2 linked regions of the Daphnia pulex genome follow. The protein of the gene in region 2 binds, or shares a complex with, the protein of the main gene of each other region. Links are inferred from orthologs where the notes say so. Each region holds a gene or a part of one and is shown on either strand. Other genes may lie near its edges. The genes, in order: vacuolar protein sorting-associated protein 72 homolog and mortality factor 4-like protein 1.

Evidence for each region.
Region 1: mortality factor 4-like protein 1 (region 2) and vacuolar protein sorting-associated protein 72 homolog share a complex: the UniProt entries of both Drosophila melanogaster proteins name them as parts of the tip60 chromatin-remodeling complex. The link is inferred for Daphnia pulex from reciprocal best matches to the Drosophila melanogaster genes MRG15 and YL-1.

The regions. Positions count from the first base shown.
Region 1 is NC_060028.1:9,606,404-9,618,073, forward strand, and holds vacuolar protein sorting-associated protein 72 homolog, read right to left. Parts: upstream 6,805-11,670; 5' UTR 6,647-6,804; exon of another isoform or gene 6,589-6,646; 5' UTR 6,523-6,588; coding exon 6,380-6,522; intron 6,321-6,379; coding exon 6,191-6,320; intron 6,134-6,190; coding exon 5,874-6,133; intron 5,812-5,873; coding exon 5,410-5,811; intron 5,341-5,409; coding exon 5,049-5,340; 3' UTR 4,993-5,048; downstream 1-4,992. Other genes in the region: uncharacterized protein LOC124210055, read right to left, coding at 4,167-4,600, 4,675-4,801; uncharacterized protein LOC124210054, read left to right, coding at 7,514-7,583, 7,714-7,863, 7,931-8,028, 8,101-8,222, 8,282-8,435; plexin domain-containing protein 2-like, read left to right, coding at 9,809-9,884, 10,092-10,301, 10,361-10,526, 10,591-10,690, 10,767-11,033, 11,097-11,232, 11,306-11,639. UniProt on the Drosophila melanogaster protein: Part of the Tip60 chromatin-remodeling complex which is involved in DNA repair. Upon induction of DNA double-strand breaks, this complex acetylates phosphorylated H2AV in nucleosomes and exchanges it with unmodified H2AV.
Region 2 is NC_060018.1:5,685,552-5,697,606, reverse strand, and holds mortality factor 4-like protein 1, read right to left. Parts: upstream 7,012-12,055; 5' UTR 6,920-7,011; coding exon 6,868-6,919; intron 6,804-6,867; coding exon 6,689-6,803; intron 6,624-6,688; coding exon 6,528-6,623; intron 6,455-6,527; coding exon 6,303-6,454; intron 6,188-6,302; coding exon 6,063-6,187; intron 5,996-6,062; coding exon 5,894-5,995; intron 5,806-5,893; coding exon 5,714-5,805; intron 5,582-5,713; coding exon 5,479-5,581; intron 5,410-5,478; coding exon 5,340-5,409; intron 5,279-5,339; coding exon 5,194-5,278; intron 5,123-5,193; coding exon 5,038-5,122; 3' UTR 4,835-5,037; downstream 1-4,834. Other genes in the region: digestive cysteine proteinase 1-like, read right to left, coding at 7,206-7,390, 7,512-7,571, 7,643-7,858, 7,958-8,003, 8,065-8,165, 8,230-8,444, 8,509-8,704, 8,771-8,924 and 5 more; probable 28S ribosomal protein S26, mitochondrial, read left to right, coding at 10,226-10,440, 10,501-10,762, 10,821-10,991; histone-lysine N-trimethyltransferase SMYD5-like, read right to left, coding at 11,034-11,442, 11,503-11,582, 11,643-11,880, 11,947-12,055. UniProt on the Drosophila melanogaster protein: Part of the Tip60 chromatin-remodeling complex which is involved in DNA repair. Upon induction of DNA double-strand breaks, this complex acetylates phosphorylated H2AV in nucleosomes and exchanges it with unmodified H2AV.

The sequences.
Region 1 (11,670 bases), on a different chromosome or scaffold from region 2:
ACTGGGGGAGAAGTTGGAATGCAGCTCGCAGTCAGCCCATCCTGGCCCTAAAGACTGTCAAACATCAACACAGCAGTTGGTTTCTCTACTACACACGAGATAGAAAGGAGGGGGTGGGGAGCGTGCGTGTGTCAGAGAGAGTGGGACGAGCTTTTTTCTAGCTGCTGCTCTCCCCTTTTTCTTCTGTACGCAATCAACATGGCGACTGGCTAAAGTAATCCGACACTGTAGCCTCTCCCCCACTCAGCTCCCCCAGACGCACGCACGCTACTCCCCTTTCCTTCTTTTTTTCCTTTCCACACATGAGTCATTGCGCGTCCTGCCTGTTTGTTATATTCCCTTTTTTCTTGAAAAATAAAAGCAAAACTTTCCTACTGGAGCGACAAACCACACCGGAAACCTTCATGGTCTCGAACGTCAATAACCGAAAATTGACAGACGAACAATTGTCGTCGTCTGCTTTGATTAAAAAACAAATGAAAAACACACAACAACTTTCCAAAATGATAAAAACACGTGATTCTATACTAAAATTCTCACTGTCATTGTCAAATCGTGGTGGTTTTCTAATTTCATCAGTAAAAAAAAACTAAACAATAAAGGCAACTTTCCAAAGTTTCACTGAATGTGTGTACAGTGTGTGTAAAGTTCAATCAACCGGAATTGTCTCAAACAAGGCCACTCTCCCCCCCCATTATTATTTGTTTCTACAATTTTCTCCAAAGGGAAAAAAGAAACAATTATAAAACAGAAAACAGCAGACCTTTGAGGAGACTAATATCCAAAGCGTAGTAGATAACTAAAACAGTCGTCGCTAGAAGCATAGGAGTGAACATCAATAGACAATTCCGCCGAAACAATCGTGATAATTTAAAAGGATATCACCGCCGCTTCCGCAGTGGGAGGAAACCACACCTTTGTCGTTCGTTTTTTCCCTCTTTTTGTTCAAAATTATTTTCGTTCAAAAATTAAAAGGGCCACTGTATAAAATCCAGGCTTGTTTTTAAAAAAACTGCCACACACACACGCACAACACTTTTGGTGATTGTCGTGAGTGCACACTCAATTTTCCATCGTTCACTTGTGTCTCTGTCTATACTGCCGAGCTGTAGTGGGGCAATAATATATAACCAAACGCGGCTCTGGCCGGCTCTTGACTGATACAATATAACGGGGCGCCGACATACGGCGGAAAACAACGCCCGATGCAATGAACACACAGGCGGTGCACACACACAAACAGCAAAGGGAGGAGGAGGAATATAAATGTGTCCACACCGACGACTGACGAGACCGTGGGGGTTGTGAGCTCTTCCGACTTTTATGTGATCCTGTGTCTCTTACACTCTCAAGTGGAAGAGAGGGGAGTAGTACCGGATCCAGCTGGGGGAGAGAACGTGCACAGATTCACGTCTCCCTCTGCCGTGAGTCAAAAATAGGATCTTTTTTAGACGGAGGAGCGCCATGACAGACTTTCAACTGATCGATCTGTCTCCCTTTCGTCTTTGTCGTCCCCCCTCCTATTAGTACAGCTGTGTGTGCTAGCTAGACACTGTGACTTGAACAACAGCTTCCATTTGAAATGGAAGAAAATAACAAAAGGCAGAAATGACTCGACGTCAACGCCCAGTTCACGTTTTTCTAATGATTTGACAGACCCATCGTTCCAATCGTTAAATTAGATTCAAATTGAATTAAAGAAATTGGGGTTGATTCGACGGGACTCGGAGGCGATTCACGATATTTAACGGATTGGTTCCGAAACTATGCGAAATTAGTCAAACGGAATCACGCCGATATCTAGTCCACATCAATATACGTGCAACTCGCACGTAGAACACAAGTTTTCCCCGATAACGTGTGTGTGTGTATACGAGACACAGCAGCACGCCGAGTTATTTATAAACTCTACCGTGGAAATATTTTTGTTTCATTTTGTTTCTTTTTTGTTTGTTGGCGTTAACTTGTTGGCCCGGTTCGCATCGTCGAGTAATTTTTGTTTTTCTCTTTCCCCCACCAGAAATATTTCTCAATTCTACAATTGACACGGCCATCAATGAAAAAATGTCGGTTACACGGCTCTATAGCTGCTATAGCTCCGGTTGTTTTTTGTTTTTGAGAGAAAAAGAGAAAAACAAAAGAGATGAGGCAACGAGACTTTCAAAAAGAATTTTAGCAAAACAATAACACAACCGGTCCCGCGACTGCTGGTTGGGTTTTGTTTATCCTGTCAAGACTTTTCTCTATCTCCGATCCATCACCGTTTTTCTTTCATTATTTTTTTTCCAGCATCACTGTGAAAACACGACATTAATAAGACGATGGTTTCCAGATGTTCCAAATGGCTCTCCCCGCTCTCCCCCGTTATACTTTAAATGCTCGTCGGATCAATAAATTGTTGTTATTAGATCCGGTGACGCAATAGCAGAAAGCAGACAACCTGATCTTTATTTCCAGTTGAGCTGCCTAGCAGACTATTATTAAATCTTTTCATAAAAAGGTTAAAATTGTATTTTGCAAGGGTTTCTTACAAGATGGTAGGATGGTCGGTCTGTTCCACGGACGATTGGAGAGTAACCAAATTAACGATAGGAGCATCACGAGCACTGAATTGACTACTATTTTGATGATGGAGTTGAAACGATGTTATCCCAGTTGCCATTGGCTGCCCTACCATAACGACTACAAACTACTAAAAAAACTACCGCACAACAACAAATGTTGGTCACGCTTTGAACGTGGCCAGTAGTAATTGATTTTTTCGTCGAGCTGAATTTAGCAAACATTCAACAAGGACGAAGGGGGCTAACGAAATGAAGCCTTTGCGAAACTGGGCAGCTGTTTCGCTCTCGCAGGAGCGTCCATCAAACGGGGTCCCGCAGCAACCTTTTTTTTTTTGTATTTTTCGCTCTAATGCAGCATCAACTCGCTCTTTCTTCTTACTGGCTATCTATAAATAATTAAAGGAGGAGAGAAGTATAGCGGCGGAAGGAGTATAGCGGGTGGGCCGCGCCAGCTGCCGATAGGGCGGGTCCGGTTGAAACCCCCCAAAAATTCTTTGGCAAAGACTGAGATGTCAATCGGCGTCGTCGTGCAAGAGAGTTTGACACGGTGTATATTTATTTCTAGGCGATCGGCAGTTGTGAAAATGACGGATTGAAATGGAATTGTGCTGGAAGAGTTGACAGTTCAGTTTCCCCTATAGGACCAGTCCACATACCGACAGTTGCTGCCCAGGCCGAAAGTGGCGGTGGTTCAAGTTGATAGTCGTCATCGTCGGCCATCTTTGACGTTCACCCAAGTGCCAGCCAGCCAGCAGCAACCCCCGTGAGCTTTTTCGTACACGCACAGCTGGGCTGATCCCGCACCAACAGGGGGGGATCTCCTCAAAAATTCCCGAGCCGCTGACACTCTTCTTATCTCACATTCGGTGGCAGATAAAAGACGACCGCGAACCGCTGCTCTCAGTTGCGTCACTTTCAATTCGCACTACACACAGAGCAAGAAAATCATCTACGGTACACTCTATTTCCGTTCTATTTTTTGAAACGCTCCTGGCGAGATAAGGTCCAACAACAACTCACCGGACTATCTTCAGCAAGACGCCCCGAGTATGTACAACGCGCGGTCGTTACAGAGCCGACTGTTGTCTCTCTTGTATTGATCACGCTGCAACGCGCATGACCCGAAAGTGCACATCCGTCACAGGGGGGTTGTTGGCTGTCGTCGTCGTCGAGTTGTGTACATGCGCAGCATAGAAATAAGTAAATGAACTTGCCACTATCAAGTGCACGACTGCACGGGGCTGCACATTTCACGCAACTTAAAAGAAAAACACTTCTAATATAATAATAACGGCGTTTTGTGCTGGGACAAGGATGACCGAGAAGTTCTTCGTTTTCACGATTGTCCGACCGGATGATTTACCGTCCAACTGCTGCGTGTTGTTCTTGTCAACACGAAACCGCAACTATACTCGTCTGTTGTTTTTTGGGTTGAGCCCATAGTACTATATAGACAACACAGAAAAAGGGAGTGGTTATTTCCGTTATATTACATATTAGACTTATCGTGAGATAGGGGGGGGGGAAACGGACATTCCTTGTATTGCAACACCCGGAATCGGTGAAAAGGTCAACGCGCCGTATCAAAAAAGAAAATAAACCTTAATTTGAAAACGAATTGACGGGAATTCGGTTGCGCCGACTATTCGACTGCTGTCGGCGCTGTTTCATAGCGTTCAAAATGGCTTGGAGGAAAGAGTGGCGAAGTAGGTCAGCCGGATTGCGTGATGCAACGCATTCGGCATCAACCCATCCGCCGTGAATTTCACGGCAGACCAGGCCGTTGGTGCAGGGACAGAGGTTCAAATAGACGTGATGTTGTTCATGTGATGGATCAACAAGATTTTGAGTGAGTCGACAAGCTTCGCCCGTCTGACGCAACGGCAAACAGAACCGGTGCAGACGGGACCCCGTAGAGCGGACGCAGCACTCGTCTGCAGAGCAATCCTCGGAATTGCGACACTCTCCGCCTGCCGCTTGATGAACTGGACAAAAGATAAGAGGCTTTAATGTTTTGGTTGAATGCTGACGTCTTGCTAACAATGGAAAAGACAAAAATGAGCTGTTCAAATTATTTTTGGAAACACATTTTTAAAATGGCTGATTTTACCTGCAGTCCACCAATTAGGAACAAAACGAGTAGCTCCGCTGTAAGGAACCAACTGCTGGGTGACTAATGTCAACTGAATTAGTAGTAGAGCAGCACAATAGTACAAGTTTTGAAGTTTAAAGAACATGGTATACGTCTTGATCGCCTTCCGGTTTCATCATCACTGCCAACTTATTTGTCGGCAGGTGTAGCAAGACGCTTTTGATAGGATTTAACCTATGAATAATTCATCGATAACATTTGCTAGTCTGACAAAGTTCGTATGAAACACAAATCGAGTTGAAAGAAACCCTAAATTGTCTAATGGTCGAAAGAAAATATCAAAAAATGTCCATTTTATTCATGTCGGTTGCAAAAAATGAGGAGAATTTCGTTCATATCGTCGGTGTGGAGTTATTCGAGTTGGAGGGTTTGACTGCTGGAACTGGCGTCGATGCAGGTGCTGAGTTTCCCTGCGCGTTGACCTGTTGAGCGCGAGCGGCAGCTAGAGCGGCGAGTCGAGCTTGGCGGTACTTTTGACGCCATTCCTTCCAGCGGCCGATCTCCGGATCGCTGGCGTCTCCTTTCACCTCCAGCTGCTGGCAATAGGCCTCACGTAAAATCCGGAAGGCCTGTAGAGTGCCGTACGGCAGCTGAGTCACCGGATCAAAGTATTTGGCTCTTTGCCTGAAAAGAGATATGATAAACGAATGATATTTCCCTTTCATCTAAGAGAAGACGATCACTCAAACCGACCTGGTGATAGGACAAAAATTCTTTTGAGGTGGAGTGACTTTCGTCCGACTGAAATTAGCCTCCAAGACACTGTCATTCGAAAACGTAACGAAAGTTCTTTCACAACACTGCTTGCTGTCGACTGTGGCTACCGTGCCATTCTCAACAACTGGATTATCTTCTTTTTCCTCATCTTCTTCGACATTAATTCGCTCGGCTTCCGGGTTGACTTCCTGGATCAGAGGCATTGACGTCGAGAGGTAACGAATTGTTGGTCCAGTAGGAGCCTTTTTCACGACCCTAGTTTTCTTTTTCTCCAGTTCAAGTTGGTGATACTTTTCCAATGATTGAATGTTAAGCAATTCAGTCTCTTTGGCTTCTTCTAGAAGCTGTTGTTGGGTTAACTTTTCAGAATTGTCCCTTCTACATCATAATAAATGATTGGTTTGAAACATTTCTAATGAAGAATTATTTTTAATGCTAACCTGTTGTGTTTTCTTTTCCCTTTTGTTTCTCTCTCCCTGAGTCTTTGTACAGTTTCAGCTGATTTCAATACAGTTGTTTGCCTTACTGCCTTCTTTTCTCTGGCCTGTGAAGGAATTTTTGGCTTTCTGGCATATTTCGACCTGACCTTCGGGACTTCCACAGGAACTTCTGTTTTTTCTCCAGCTTTTGCTATTCTTTCTGTCATTTCATCAGCATTTTTGTCACCCTTTAAGCGTTTGCTCGAGGAAGCTTTAGGCTCCTAAGAAAATTTTTAAAAATGATTTCATTCGTTAATTCTGTAGTAGAATAGACATACCTTGTACGCTTTGGTACTGACTACACCTCGTTTTCTTTTAGTGCCCTCATCTTCATGATCAGAGATAGGTTCATCATTTTCATCAATGCTGAAATCTGAGTCTACTACGTCATCCTGGTCCTCTTCCGCTCTAGACCAAAAAAAGATTTGTTTTATTGATGTAATATACAAATTTAGACTTTAAATTACTTGAAAACGAATTCATTGTCATCTTCTTCATCATTGAATCCACCGTAAGTGCTTTTATAGAAATCGTCATCCTGTTCTTCTTCCTCCAGTAATTTTGACAAGCGATTGCCCGCATTTACACGCCGTTCACGTTGTAGCGACATGATGAACTTTAACAGATAGACGTTATTTTTTACTAAACAAACACTATGAGAATTCAATTACTAGATCTGAGAACACAAAGTTCACGTTAAAATTACACAAAAAAATTAGTTTTTTCTAAACAACCTCAACTGGAAAAGCAGACGCCAACGCCACAGAAAGCCATCTATTGACTAAAACCAAACTTAATTCTTGCTAAATCACAACGCTAGGTGGCGTTATATCCTACAGAAACCTTTCCGCCTTTCCTTTCATTCTTTCTACTTTGCTTCTCCTGGATTTAGACGTACTGTACCTAAAAAAAGAAATTCTGTCTCTTTCATTTTATATTTGTTCTTCAATCTTCATTCAGTCCTTCCCCTTTAAGACTGAAGTTAGTTACTAAGAAAAAGAATTGAAAACACTTCACCTTGTTTGTTATAACGTTTTGTGTTGAGGAACCACTTTAAAGAGAATATTAAAATTGTTACAGACTTCAAGCTCTTTATCCCGATCCTTATCCAGGTTGATGAACACAATGAAAAAGCAAAAGACAAGATCACACACATTCATGACATGACTATAACATTTTTGTTTAAATGAAGGTACGAATTATTCTGCTGCATTTTATCAGTAAAATTGCCAGTTCCAACCAGTTCCAACCATTTCACAAATTGACCCTTAAAATATTGCCTCAGTGGGTATCGCTACTTTGCCAGTTCCTCACCATTTACGTATAATTAAATTTTACAATTGTTATTTTTCAAAATCAAAAGTAAAACCAATTTTCCCGCCGGTGCATGCTATTTCTGCCGCACGGAAGTAAGCTTTACTTCTGGCATTCATCTGAAAGAACGAAAAAATCACCTGAGGCTAGAATAACCCAGAGAAAGTCATTGACAGATGGAAAACTCAGGTGTTTCCGTACAAAGACCGGCATGCAGTTAGTCTTGAAACCAGTTCAGCTTGACTGACTCCGGTGCCATCTCACCATTTCTTTGAAAGCTTTATCAAATGTTTGTCCGTGATTTTGTGCTCTTGTCTCTGACATTCTTATTGTGTCTGTTCACGTCAAGAGGAGAAGGTGAGAATCATTAAAGCGTTTTAACTTGATATGTTTTTGTTAAGAAACTACGGAATCTTGCAAGAATTACGTCATCCTACTAGTCTAAGTCAAGTAATTTCAATTATATTACCACTTTTCCCTTCAACTGCAGAATTATGGCGGGAAGATGTGACTGGGCGTATGAACATTGGTGTGACGGCTTCGGGGTTCGATCAGATCCGGCTAGACTGCGGTAGCAACAATTTTCAAGTGGTAGTAGAGACACTGGCCGATTTTAGAGGAGTCATATACACCAGAGGTACAAAACAAGAGAAAATATCGATTTAAAATTTAAATTTTCGTTTCTAAATTTTTCTCTGACTTAGGCAGCTTCTATTCACGAAAGGCACCGTGCTTTCTAGATGCTAACGGTGGCCGTCGTTTTCGGCTCAAAATACCATACGATCAGTGCAATGTTGAGGATGTACGTGCAATAAGAATAACGAATGTATCAACACGTCTAACGTCTCATGTTTCTAATGTGCAATTTTTTTAGGATGGAGAAAAGTTTCAAGTGACTCTCATCTTACAGCATGATAAGGAGCTCATTATGCCAGGAGACGGAGCTTTTGCACTGCAATGTGATCTGTCAGCCAAAGATTCAAAATCTTTTAAAGTGTAAGATTTCAAAATGGTTTCGACGTCATTAAAAGTACTCATAATTCATTGATTTGCAGATCTGCCGTGTCCAGTATCAGTTTAGCTGATCCGGATCCTTCCGGAAAAGATGTTCCAACTCATTTGAAGTCCACTGTGAGCGCTCCAAACGTAGTTGTCTTCAAGCCGTCCGATATCAGACCAAGAAAGTCACCGCAAAGGATCGAGCTATAATTGTGAATATTTGTTTTTTGATTGTGTACATCCCACATTGGATGTCATAGACGGGGATCATCTACACTAAAATATAAAAATAAAGACAAACTTTTATTTCAGGCGAGATTATTTTGTTATCAGTGATCAATGCAGGAAGATCCTAATGAAGCGTCCCAATGCTGGGTATTTTCTGTGTTGCGAAATAAAGGAAATGCAGCACCGTCTACGTCATAACTTTTACAGATGATTGCGCAGTATCTTGCAATAATAGAATTAACGAATTCAGTAAATTCATTTCAGCTTTCTTACGCTGTTTAATGAAAAATAAAAATTTTACCCGTTATTAAATATTCTTGTCCTATTTTCATTTGAGCAATTTAAAATATGAGAAACCGAGTTAGTTACGAAAGAATTGAGCAACAACAGTGCGAGGCGGAAGCAAAGAAGGAGTGCTGGTGAAACACAATGACATGTGGCAACCCTGTAGCCCATTAAACCCTACGGAGAAAAAGGGCCCGACGAATTGATGAAGCCCACTGCTGCTGTCTACAAGTGGTCTGTAACAAGTGTCACTCTCGAAAAAGGAAAAATCTATTGCACCGTGGAGTCCACGGCGCTCTAATGTCAAAATATGCTATTGCGCCGTGGATACCAGGTGGCGCGGACGAGCTAGTTCCAGCAGGGGTATGGAGAGGTCTCTCTATGCCCATGGGTTCCAGCTTTGTTATCGCAAATTTTTTTCACATGTACCATAGTAGGTAAATCTAATTTGCACTGGACAACCATTGGGCATCACGTGTTGATTAAGTCTTATTTTAAGCCCTTTGCAGAAAGCGAACTATGTGTTCCAAAATTAGCGGTATATGCCGCTAGCTAGCGTATACTAACATAATAACTGTAGTTGCTGGACATTTCAATGCAGGTCCGTTTTCTTTTTGAAGGTTAAAAGGGTCGACACTTGTATATACAATTTGTTTTTGACTAGGTCGATCACAGCTGACATAATTGCTATTATGAGCAGCCGCAGTAGGAGTGACTGTGTTAAAGCCACAAGGTGAATCTTGGGAGGCAGTATTGGCTATTGGGAGAGCATGCTTTACAGTCCTTATCCTATCAGTCCTTATCTATTGGATGTGCGAGTGTCGGCAATTATTTCATAAGGAGCACCAGCCTTACGACACAGGGTTACTTTAGTTAAACGTGACGGTGTGTGTGCTAAACTCTACGGTGCAATAGCATATTTTGACATTAGAGCGCCGTGGATCCACGGTGCAATAGCACAAAGTGACATTAGAGCGCCGTGGATCCACGGTGCAATAGCACTATGTGACACTAGAGGGCCGTGGACTCCACGGTGCAATAGGCGCAACCCTCGAAAAAATACACCGAGAATGGCGTCTGAAAGCAGGAAATTTAACTGGTGTGCTGTGTTAGTTACTCTCACCCTCATCGGCATTTGCACAGCTGGTATATAAAAATTATACTTTGTGACGTTTAATGTTTTGGGTTTATGGCGCTATAACATTTGCTCGAGAACGAGGAAAATATTGTGTTGAACTTAACGACAGGCTTCATCTGTACATATTTTTATTGTCGGTTTAATGGTTTCACTTTGCCTCAATATATTGCCACATTGGTTTACTTTGTAATTGGTAAAATGTATTTTTTTGACAGATGACTATTTTCTGTACGAGTCAGACGAATTTCCCAGCAGTTGGCAGCAAGAGCCTGTGATTAAGCTACTGACCAAACGACAAGTGGATCCAAAGGAAAGCAAAGATGCAAAGAAACCTGTGACCATGAAGCCCCAACCAAATTCAAATCCAGAAAATTCTTCAAATCAGAAACTAAATAGCCCACTTCTTGACTTGCCACAGGGAAACGGTAAGTTTGTGTTAATAAATATGCCAATTAATTTAAAATTATCTTGAGTTTCCTATTAGCTTCAGACATTCAGAGCAATACTGACACTACGACTATTCCTATTACAACTTCTACACCATCCACCATTACACCAACTCCAACTGAAGTGCTACCAACTGTGGATTATGATGGTCTAAACATCACTGTTAAAAATGTCACTCAAGACTACCATCGATATTACAACAGGTAATAACCATACATCAATTACGTCAAAATTGTCAGTGATCAATTCATTATTTTCTTTTTCAAGCTCCACTTATCCTGAAAAAGGAATGCAATTTTGGATTGATTTTGACAAGGAAAATGCATCTACTCACGATATGTTGTCTCAATCACATCGTCGTGCCGCTGTAAGAATTTTTAATTGGCAATCACTAACTCGGTTACAAATTAGATTGTTTTCGTTTTTTTTTTATTTATTCACAGACGGTTCCGCTCTCCTTCGATTTTCCCTTCTATGGGCACTGGGTGCGTAACATTACCATCGCTACTGGGGGCTTTCTATATACTGGAGACTACGTTCATTCTTGGTTGGCTGCTACACAATACATTGCCCCGTTGATGGCAAATTTCGACACAAGCATGAGTAACTACTCCACTATTAAGTACATGGATAATGGAACGGCGTTTTCAGTTCAGTGGGACAAAGTTGCTCTTCAGGATAAACCCGATGGAGGCAACTTTTCATTCCAGGTATAATGACTTTTACATTCTTATTCGAATAACTTTTATTTACTCGTGTTTTTGTAAACGCAGGCAACTTTATTAAAATCTGGTGATATTATCTTTGCGTATAAAGACATTCCTATTCCAGTTAATTCAATTGGCGATGATGCCCATCCTGTCAAAGTGGGCGTTTCTGATGCTTATATCATCGACCGAACCATCTTTTGTGAGTTTGTGGTGTCCGACTTCCTGTTTTCTATCTAATCATTAAAGCAAAATCTAACGTTTTTGGTTTGCAGTTGTCCGCCGGAAGACGATTTACGAGTACCATAAGGTAGACAAGAAAACAGAAGAGGTCACATCTGATTCGGCCATTTATTTCACCGCTCTGCCTACATGTGTTGCATTCAATTCCTGCGATTCTTGTATTTCAAACACCATTGGTTTTGATTGTGTTTGGTGCTCCACGGCTGAGCGTTGTTCTGACGGCATGGACCGCCACCGGCAAGATTGGCTGATCAAGGGTTGTGACAAAGTCTTCGTTGATAACATTGGCAACTGCAGCTTGCCACCTTTAGTTCCTTCAAGTACTCCGCCAATGGAAACAACCATTCCCACTCCTGCACCTACAAAGTAATTGATATAATATTTTGCAGTTTCACCG
Region 2 (12,055 bases):
TAATAAAAAAAAAGAGACCCCGATTCCCGCAGAGAGAGAGAGAGACGAAATCGAGTCTGGCTGGATGGCGCCCGCGGGACGGATCTCTTTTTCTATGTACCGCGCCAAATATGGCGAAGGAAATGGTCAGACTTGGAGACCCACGCTGCTCTTTCGGATCGTTTTGTTTTCCTTTTTTTTTTTACTAGCTTCGATCGAACGTGAAGAGATTTGCATAACTGGACGCCGAGACAAGGTCAAGTCCAACTGGATTGCCCAATCACATCACGTTACTACCCTCTATACAACTAAACCCCATTACCTTAATGGAAATCCAATCCGAATGGTCGACACTAACTCGCGATACAAATTCACTTTAAGTGTGGCAATAGCAAATTGTTCAAAAGTGGAAACAGTGAAAATCAGAAGGAGAAAAGAAGAAGAAGAGGAAACGTAGTAAATTTGAAATCAAAAAAGAATCAGCAAACAACTCACCTTGGAAGTTGTGTGAGGAGCGAGAAACCCGTCAGGCGGCTACGGCGACTGAAGAGCAACTGTTCTAGCTTGGACGTTCTAGCCGACTAACAAACAACTTGGGAGCCAACTGTGGAGTCGTGTAGGACCCCGGCCGAGCAGCTCCTATAGCCGCCCGTTTTTGTTGGTACCCTCCTTCTTCTCTCCTGACTTCTTTGATTCCCACCTCCCCTCCTGACAAGCTCTACGCCCGTCCTTGCAAGAAGCAACCCGGTTCTTTTTTCTTTCTCTCTCTCCACAATCCCGCCCGTACAAACGTTTTCTGCCCGCCTACACACTCTCTCCCAACCCTCTGCGTTGGTTCCAAAAAACCTCTCCTTCGCTCTGTGTGTTATTGCGGTACGCACGTCCATTTAAAAACAGAGAAAAAACACTCTTTATTTTTTGTGTGTGTGTTTGTTTCCACACTCGACATATTGATCTAATATATTCAGATGTATCTGACCGAGTGAAACACCACCCGGAGCATTTGATTGCGTTATGCATTTTTTTTTGCCGACGAGAGTACATACAAGATAGTCAACTCATACCAAGAATATCAATTGTAATGTTTATTTTGATTGACGCTTGTAATAATGATTCTCGAGACACGAAAGAGAAATGATTGAACACACACACTTTTAAGAGAGTAAAAAGCGTCCTCAATATGAAGGTAGGTCAAAATGCAACTGGAAAGTGAAAATATGTTTACGGGAATTGGGCTACACCGCAAAAGTGACACGAAACATTCCAACGGGGGGCGATGGGGGAATGATTTTTTTCTTTTTTTCCCGCAACTTGATCCGCCGACTTGCCGACAAGTCGCAACGATTACGACATTTCAAAATTCAGCAGGCGCGTGCAGCTTATAATCTTCTTCTGATAAAAGACTACGACCGTGCCGTTTTATAATGCAATAAGGTGGTGGCTTATTCAATTTTATGTAATCCATTCTTGACGTTTGCCATTTGTCGCACCGCTATGAGACGCGGGGTGGATTAATAAACCGGACCGCGGGATGACGTCAGTCTTCACTTGTTTTTTTTTCGTGAGTGAGAATTCAGTTCAGAAAAAGTGTCGGATGAATCGCAAGTAACTCGAGGCACGGTATTCATGTTCACGCCATCATCTGTGGTTTTGCAATCGTCGTTAATGAAACAATAGATTCATTAACCTTGTACCTAAGTAGAATCGCTCAGCCGGAGCAGCAGCAGCCGGAGCAGCAGCAAAAGCTCCGTGCTGGATTCCAGAGGTGACGGGAGTCACGACTTTTTCGCGAGGTCGCCGACAATCCGACGACTACGAAACGTAACAGAACAAACGGGAGAGAATACTCAAAGAAATGGACGTTTCATAAACAAACAAAAAAATAATTCCCGAAATTCTTCAAAAGGGAAAATCGATACGACCTTGCCGATCCTTGCCACTGGTCATTTTTTGACACGCAAGTGTTTCCTTCCATCGCAGAGAGAGAGACTCACGTCGTGTAAAATGCTGTTGGAATATATCTGTCTATCTCACTCTCTCCGATTGGTCACGACCTTTTACGTTTTATGTTTGGCGCCACATGTACCGGTCCCGCCAGGTTTTTGTACCGTATTGAACGCGCCAAAAGAGATATATATGATACACGTCCGAATCATTTTTGCATAACTGACACTTTCAATGCCACCGGTTGATTGCGTCGAGTACTACTTTGGAGCGTAAGAAGAACACACGCGACAAATATTGGGGTCAGTCGCAACATTTGAAAAATGAAAATTGAACACGCAAAATTGAACTAGAGAATTTCGCTGATTCGTCGCAACAAACCAAAACCAAGCGCCACCGCAATCCTGTACACAGTTGCGCAGTGAGGGACGGACGTGGGTGCGCTCACACACCAAAAATGGACCGGGATGTCGAGAGTCGCTTCCATCGTTCCGTTTGTTTTGCTTTTTTTTCTCGGGACTCCCGAGACCTGCAAAAGATCGTGACGACGTCGATTGGCGTCGGTTGCACGTTGCAGACCGATTGAGTTTACATATGATGGAATGCTTACACCCTCCCACCGTCTCTCTCGAATTCGCATTTTCAACCGCATAAACAAGAAGAAACCGAAGGAGAAAAGAAAAATTCTTCCACGCTGCCGTCGTGTAGAAAAATCCCGGCGTCGTCCTGGTCGTACACCTTGGCACCGATTTGTTTGTTTGACTTTTCTTGTTTTTTCATTTTCCTCCTTCTTTATTCTTCGCTAGACAGAAACGGGAAAAAGGATCGGGATATTTTTCTCTCTCTCTCTCACTCCATTCTCGGTCCCAGAAATAGGTCGGGCTCAATGCGCGCGCGCGCCAACAGCCGGCCATGCTGCCGCCGCTGCCCGCTGCCGCTGCCGTATTGGTTTACCCTCAACCGAAAGAACGAACCCCCCCATATAAATGAAGAGAAGGAGGTGGAGGTTCTCTTTTCATTCGGCGTCGATAACCATGTAGGGAACACAAGAGAAATGGAAATCACAGCACACGTTCAAGAGAAATAAAATCCCAGTCAAGGCGACGGCCATGGATTGTCCGTCCAGTCGTGTGGCTCCTTTTGATTGGGAATTTTTCTTTTCTTCTTTACAGTATGGAAAAGAAAATTCTACGACGGTGAATTATTCTTCGCAGCGTCGTTTTTCCTCTTTGTCGAATCACATACAATCGCTCGTATCAAAAGGAGGAGAGAGAATGACAATAAAAAGATCACAACTTTCTAATTCTTCCCAGTCATACGATGGCAAAACGCCCGAGTGAAAGGTGTGTGTGTGTGTGTACCAAACGGTAGTCGCTGCAACTGCATCAGTAACACACACACACGGCAGACACGCGAGAACCATTACACACCAGTTCAGAGAGGTACGGTATAATAGAAAGCTAATGAGAACGCTCGATTTCCATCGTAACGGTCGCATTGCGTGGCGCTTCACGGACGGTTGCACGCGTTGGCTCGGGCACAGCATCCAGGGATTATTAAATAACACAAGTCGAGACGAGGAGATCCTTGGTGTGATGGGCCAAACATGAAAACGTCATAAAAATGGCCCCGGCTTTTCCCCTGCCCAGTCGTTGTTGTTGTCGGAGAGACGGGCGGTTTTGGGCTTCGACCTTTATGAAAACGTCAATGCAGCTGCGGCAGTGAGCTTACTCACACGATCTGCACAGCCTTCACCTACATCTAATGACACTGACTATGACGCCCAAATATGGTCAGGAAATGTTACTTAACCCATATATGTTTTGTGTGTTTGCTTTTGATGGAAACGAGAAGGGCAAATAGAGAGAGTGTGTGGCAAAAAGGGTTCGTCACTTCTTTTTCTTTCTTTTTTGTGGAGAAAAAAAAAAAAAGGAACTTTTGGGTTGTTTTCTGATTCGCTTCCGGAATCGAGTCCAGCTGCTGCGGCTGGTCCAGCAGCCCCGGACGCTGATAGCTCAACGTCTATATTTCTCAACCGGGACGGCAAAAGATCTTCCCTCTCGTCCGTTTCAGTACAAGAAAGTTAAAACAACACAAAATAAGGCCAGCAGCACACACTACGGCGGCGGCGGCGACCGACGACGCCGCCGTAGTTTATTTCTGTACCAAAAGCGCCCGGGCTCCTCGACCCAGGAAAATCAAAAAAGAAAAAAGGTTTTATTTTTTCTTTCTTTTTAAAAGCTCCCAAATATTCTTGCCGAAAGAATTGAAACACTTCATTGAAAACAACATGAATTTGGGACTACTGACACAAATATTACAACCCTTTTAGCTCTGAGACGATTCAACTCTCTCGTGAATCATCAGCAGTCGCGTCATGATGGGAGGGTTAGAGGTCGGGGTGGATGAGGGTATTATCACCCTCGTCTTCGCTGCATCCGCCCAGTCACCGAAAAATGAAAAAAGATAGACGCAAAGACCCAAAAATCTACACGACACACTCATCTCACGAGCGTTTTGTTTTCTCTTCTCGGTCACGAACAGCTCGGCTATCATTTCAATGTTTGGGTTTAAATGACCAGCAGATAGTAAATACTGAGCGAGGAAGACGGGGTACACATAGTTGGACCGTGACGATGTGTTGTTCCCATCTCAAAAGCCCACTTTCACTGCACACACGAGTTTTGTCTATGCCAATTTGAGAGAGGATCACTACCAAAATCTAGCCGAAAATCTCTAGACACACACTCCATTCCGAGCGGATGTCGAGCCCAATGAAGGAAATAATACACGACGATTGTTCTCGACTCCCTATCCGACAAACAGGACAATTAATTGCTTGTCTAAAAACAGACCAGCTGGGTCAAAGAGATTGGCGTCATCGGTAGAATTCGCAGAACCGTAAAAAAAACCGCGTAACAATTGAATGTATTACGTTTACACGATGGCAAGTCACTGTGTTACACATGAGGCTTAAAAAAAAAAACTTTTTTCTTTCTTTATTTTTAAAGTTTACCAGATTTCAAATCGGCTCGTTTATATGTGTGAGACATTGGAAAGAAAAAAATATTTCCGACGAAAAAAAAATGAAAAAAGATACACTGACGTGGTATTTCAGCAAGCGCGGCGGTGATATTCAGCCGATGCGTTGCCATAATCCTGAGCACTGAACAGCGTCGAAGCGTTGCGTCCCATGTATCTGTCGTGATCACAGCTGCCGATGTAAATCAACGTCTTTAAATAAAATGTTTCTTTCGTTTTCAGACTTACTTTAAAAAATCTTGGAGGTGAACGTGGAGCAGTTGGATCGACTTTTCATCAAGTGGGGTATACGCCAGCATACTTCCTAGCCGGGCTGTACGATAATGTTTATTTTAAATATGTTAAATGGTGGTTTGAAATCAATTGAAACTTACTGAACATGCGTAAAAGATGGGGGGCTCCATAAATTTGGCTCATCATTTTGTCAGGGTGATTCTTCAAAATCTATAGCCATATAAAGAATCAACGTATGAACGTATAGTATATCACTGTGAATTTCACTTCATGACTTACATCAGCATATTGTAATCTCTCAAATTTATACAGCAACGAAGAACCGAGCGTTACATTGAAATATTCTTTCAAGCCGGCCATGACCTCCTGAATGGCACTCTCTCTAAAAATGGAGGAATTAAAGGAAAGAAATAAATAAAAAAAAAGTTTCTCCACTTGGTTTAGCAAATACACACAATGTATGTATGCTATTGGTATTCATTTTGCTAGCAGTAACAGCGGAATTGCGACATACTTGCTTGGGGTGGTCGTCCGGTTGCTGCTTTTGTGCTTGATGTAATCTTCTAGAATGGTGTCAACGGGCACTTTGGATGGTAAGTTCGCCAACTGTTGCGTAATTGGATGAAATGAGTTTTTGGTGACTCAGTGAAATATTGCTGGAAAGATAATATCTTTAACGTTTCAAATCACGTACTTTTTTCTGGCGGTTAATATAGTCCCAGTCATCAACAAGCCAGGGTTTCAACTCATCTGGAATCTTTATTTTCACTTCAACCTTGGATAAAAACTGTTCTTCCTATAAGTAAATGGTTTTTTAATGCTACATTGTTGAAAAGATTTAGAAAGTGTATGTGAAATCTCACTGATTCAACAGTAGAGTCAGGTCTGGTCTTCTTTCTTGAGCTTTCAGAAGATGATGCTGTACCAGCAGTGGTGGTAGAAGGTGTTGTTGTCGTAGAGGCTGTGGCAGGTCTTTTGGTGGGTTTTTCTGTTGGAATATAAGCAATTTTTATGTTATTTTTCGTAACACTGATCTTGACTGATTTCAAGGAAAGACAAATAGTCTGACAATGGCATCATGTGTACCACTTTTGACAAGGTACCTTGAAGTGATGGTGTAGAAGATCTACTATCTGTTTCTTTGCCTGATGTATTAGCATCTGACAGGTTGCCTCCACCTTTAGATGATTCTGATCTTCGGCCTGGAGGTTTGCCAACAGGGGTAGAAACACCTTTGATTTGTTTCTTTCCTTTCCTGTTCCAAAGAAATTGAAAAACCAAATAAGATGATCAATCAGCCTTAGTCGTTGATGAAAGTCAATAGTTACGATGTAGCTTCATGAGCTTTGAGGAGTTCTTTCTGTTTTTGAAGAGCTTGGTCATTGTACTTCAGCACACGGTTTTCAGGCACCCACTCATCCCAACTGTATAAACAGCAGAGGAAAATGTTATGGAAGTTTCATCAATATAAATTTCACTTTGATTTTACTTTTTATTCCAGCCAGCATAATGTATCAAGTATTTGTTCTGTTGATCCTTGAATTCTGCTTTGAGGCTTTTGGCTTCATATAAAAGCGGACCGTGAAAACAAAGAACTCGTTCCCCTATTATTTTGTTTAATCGTTTAAATTTAGTTATCCAAAGATATATTTGACTAATAAAACAAACCTTCTTTAAATTTGAATTCTGTTGCTGGCTTCTGTTGAGCTTTGGGACCCATTTTTGTTCAAAGCAGACGCTACAACTTGCTAGTTGCTACGTCACGTGACCTAGCGTTGGTGCACGTTTCATTAAAAGAACGTCAGAACGCCAAAATGCAATTTTTAAAAAGAAAAAAAAATCGAAGCACATTTTTTTTTTTTAATAGCAGCTGACAAATATTTGATAGCCACAATCAATTTTATTCAAACTCAGACGTAGAGATCCATGTTTACTGTTTTTTCCCAAGCTTTTCTATAGATTTCTACTCATGATGGGAGCAAACACAAAATTTAATGTTTGGAATCTCACATGATCACATAAGTAGGTGAAGTCGCGACGCCACAATTATTTTCTTTTTGTGACATCAAAACATACCCAGAATTTCCCCAATAAGTCGACCACGAATTTTTTACCAACCAGTATGGCTCGCCTTTTAGAATTCCATACCCTACAGCTAAAACAGCGTGGTCCAAGCTGTCTTCTCCGCTGCCTACAGTTTAAAAAAGTAATTCAAGGATGAGTGTGATGGTGCCACAGATTTCAAAGAAAGAAAGTATTCTTTTAGAAAAGGTAATTGCATGATATTATTACGAGATTTTAAAAATTATTACCGCATTCAGGATTGTAGTAAACTCCGTTGGCGTAAAAAGAAAATGCACGATGCGCAGCATCTATTTTAATAGTTTCGATAAAGAAAATTATTACCACCTGACTTCACTACAACTCCTCCGCGTTTTATTACCGATAGCAACGGAGATTGGGCCATACTTAAAGATGGCAACACGCAACGCATCGACGTCTCCTGATGTTACATTAACATAGCCTTTAATGGAGGCTACGAGAGTCGCATTGTCTACATGGCAATAACCATCAGCACCCAAGTAAGGTCCATAACTCTCCTCTGAAGGAATACCTCCGTGCTTCATCATCCACTGGTATACTCGGAAATCTTCACCACCTTTAATTGACGAACAATTATGCGAAGAAATGGTAAAATTTAAAACAAAGAACAACTTTAGAAGAAAAAGTGAAAATATATTCAAATGAAATAACATACCGTCGCAACCGTTATTGCCAAAACCCCAACTGCAATCAACAAGAGCCTAAAACAAACATATTCCCATCATTAATTTCATTGAAACAAAATATTTGATGTTAATTTACCTGTTGTGAGAGTGGAGTCAGTTTACCCGTTTTGAGGAAGAGGGCTCCTTCAAGAGTTCCTACAGTTCCAAAACTCCAACACGAACCACACACACTTTGGTCTATAATAATTGTAATGATGACATTATTTAAACAAAAATTGAATTTAAACAAAAAGAAAATTACCTTTAACAGGAGTGACAGCTCCATAAAGCCGCCAATCCATTTGCTCTGGAAGATTTTCAACATCACTCTTAGTGTAGTGGAATGTCGAGCCACCATTGAACCCATTGGAGCGCAGTTTTCCACGCATGTAACGGATTTCATCTGAAGTCCGGTCAGTCATGTGATTCGGTGCTAGCTTATAAGTTAATCCAGCGCGATTTTTTGAATGGATGAATCTACCAAAACGTAAAATGTAAGGTGGTTCGGAAAAGAAACTTGCATAAGACAATAGAATAATACCTCATATTCTGTCTGAAAATATCTTTGCGATTTTCGTGTTCAGTTGTATTTTTGTAACCCTTCTTATGATGACGGACGAACGAGTCAAATGTATCGTCCACATGCTGAGTGTGATCATGAGCGAATTCACGCATGGGGTTAAATGTGTAAATATGGTCGACACCGGGACCGGGGAATCCATGGCATTCGCCTACATCTGAAATAATAATTTAATTTACAGATGACAAAGACATTATTTTTTTTGCAATGACAACTTATTTACCGGAGTCGATCATGAATGCATCTTCATTAGGTTTTTCTGCTGTGAAGCTAGAATAATCCAGATAATAATGGTCATAATGAGAACCCAAAAGGGAGTTGAATCCTTTCATTTCATATCGAACGGGTACAGCGATTTGTTGACGAGTTCCAGCGAACTAAAATAGAATATTTCATTGCACATGGTCTGGTTATAAATATACTGTAGTTTTGAAAAAATATTTACTTGGTGCTGGAGCCACATTGTGTAGCGATTAGTTTTATCGCCGACAGAATTGATATACTCCCACTTTTCACAACTCACACCATTCATAATTTCAGTGCCAATCAGCTAAGCAAAACAACAAATTTAACATATTACTTTTATCTTTTTTCCTGTTTGTTTACTGCTGTACCTTAAAGTTTGAGATATCAGGCAAAACTCCTTGGACTTTTACTGGTTCATCAGCACTACCAGATGTTTGGAAACAATTTAGCTGATTTTTAACTGTCTCAGTGGTCATAGGGGCAATTTTCTTGGCTGTGCCATATGGTCCTTCATTTGCTAGCTGGTAGGTTTTCTCCATTCCTGTTAGTGAAAAGCAATGCAAGTGGCATGAATAATAAATAAGTAAATAAATAAATAAAAAAGTTAAAAGTAAAAAAAAAAAATCACACCTCCATAAAAATCAATTCGGCTTTTTCCACTATCAAAATCCACCCAGGCATAAAAGTTTTCGTCTATTTCAGCATATGGAAGATGGAGAACTCCTTCACTTATCTAATGGTGTGGAAAATTGAGCAATGGTCTAAGCATAATGTTTTAAATACTACTAAGTTACATAAGCTGAACTCCAGGAAGGAGGAGATGGAGAGTCTTTTGGAAAAGGTGGTTGGTTGAAAAGTTGAGGAAGTTTCCACTTTTTTATCCATGAATTTCTCTCATGTTGTGATGCAACCTCATTATCTTCTGTGCCTCCAATTGCCAACCCTATAAGATGAAAAACACAACATGTAACAATTATTAATCGAATTGCATCGTTACACGCGTATTGAGCTAATAAACAAAGAATGTTCGAAATTCTACCTATTAGAGCAAGAAACAAGAAAAGACAGCAGGATCTTCCCAGCCACGACATTTTTAGTCAGAAAAGCAACTAGCAACTGAAATCACTGAAATATGCTGGAGTAAGCAATAATGCAAAGTCTAAATTACGCCTCCTCTGAAGCGTAGCACATCTGAACTTCTGAAATCTGAAGCCTTTGGAGGTTTGGAAATAATAACAAATTACAATGTACAGAATTCGGTGTTGCCAAATCATTCATTCTTATTCGGAATATTTATACTGCAGCAGACGATGTCACGAACAGCCGGTGCTGGAGTGCAGCTTGTACACTTCGTTTGTCGTGTCATTATTGTTCATTAATTTGATAAACACAGAACTTTCAACCTTTTTTTTTATATCATTAAGATTTCGCCATGTTTGCCAGAAGTAGCAGTCGTATATTCAATGTTATTAACATCTCGTGCATACAGAGTAGAAGTGCGCGAGCATGGGTGAGGAAACCACTCGGATCACCTATGGCCAAATCGAAAATGTTCCGAATTGCTCCAAAAAAATTCATACCCGCCGATGAGAAAGCTGAAGTTAAACGCCTTTATGACAATTACTTTCACCAAATGAAGTCTTTAAGGTAATTATTCAAACTTAGATTTTTACATGGATTTTAAACCTCATTTTTACTTCGTTATAGGCACTATTTTTTTGAACAGTCTCTTGAACAAGCAGAAAGTGGAGAAGTAGCACAAATGAAACACAGATTGGAAGAAGAAGAGCATATTAGATTGATGGAAGAAAACCGTCTGGAAAATGAAAAAACAGCTAAGTTGAGAGAAGAGAAATTAAAGATCCAGGCAGAGAAAACAAGAGAAAATATTCTAGCTTCTTTGATTAATAAAGAGGAAGAAACTAGACTATATGAAATTCAAATTGAAGCTTTCCTTGAGAAACAAAAGGTATGGCTATTTGATATTTATTTCTTAATTATATCTATCTAACTATATTTTTTTTTAGGCTACCCCATTTATCCAAGCTGAAAATATTGAAAAAGCTATAGAGGAAGCACTTGCCAACCCTGTCGACTTTAATTTTGCCATTGATCTCGATGGATACGTATATAGAGGGAGAGAAACTGCGATCGAAAAAATACCAGAGGAAGAGCGAGAGAGACTGCGTAGCAATTGAATGTATTGAAAAGTGATTACATACAATATTTAGCATTGTACCTTAATCATCTTCCATGCTTTCTTCATCTTCGCTAGTCATATCTGGTTCATCAGCTTCGAGTTGGCATCGACTACAATTACAGTGAAACAAATAGTTCTCTTTCAAAATTTTTCTTCTTGAATGTCGACTTCTCGACTGGGCGCATTCATCAAGATAACTGATAAATATTTCTTCGCCTTCTTCCAAGTCTTTTGATGCTACTAAAGCTACAGTATGATTAGAAAACGGAAAAGTCGAAATACAGTTCGGTTCACAACTGTGGTTACACGCGCTCTGAATCGCAAATAAAGCCGATCCCTCATTGTTGAGAAAATCACCAGATTCAGTTTCCATTTCTTGATAAATGGTGTCAATCAATGCATCAGTTGCAGGATCAATGTCATTTTCAGAAACTTTTCGAACCCAAACGCTTTTGAAAAATTTTAAAAGTTAGTACAAACAAATTAGTACTTTATTTAAGAAAATTAACCTAAATGCGCTAGTTCCTATGCCTTGTCCATTTCGTCCTATCAGAGCAATTAAGGAGCGGAAGCCTTGGGGAGTCAGAAACTGGAGAAAAAGTTAAAACTTGTCATAATGGATTAGCAGTAAATTCAAATTAAATTATACCTCATTGGTTTCCGGCATTCCAAGAGCCTTAGTGCATAAATCTCGAAGGAGCTCTAATTGACTTTCGAACTCTTGCCCCAACAGCTTGTGGGCAATAGTTTCTTCTTCATTGACAGTGTGATGGCACAGTGACATCAGTTGACTTTTAAGCTCTTCTCTGTCTGTTCTCTGAATGAAATTAGCAAGGATTCTCACTAATAACATGATTGTGGAGGTTTCAGGAGGATAATGCATTTTCCTATTTAAGAACATGTTCAAAGTTTTTTTTTAGGAAAAGATTTTACAAAATTTACAAAACACTTACTTCCATGCTTCATTTAATTTTTCCAATGGATGGTTAGGATTTCCTCCAAACATGTTGCAACAGATTGTTTTGTGGTATTGCTTCCAAGCTTGATCTTTGCAATCAACAC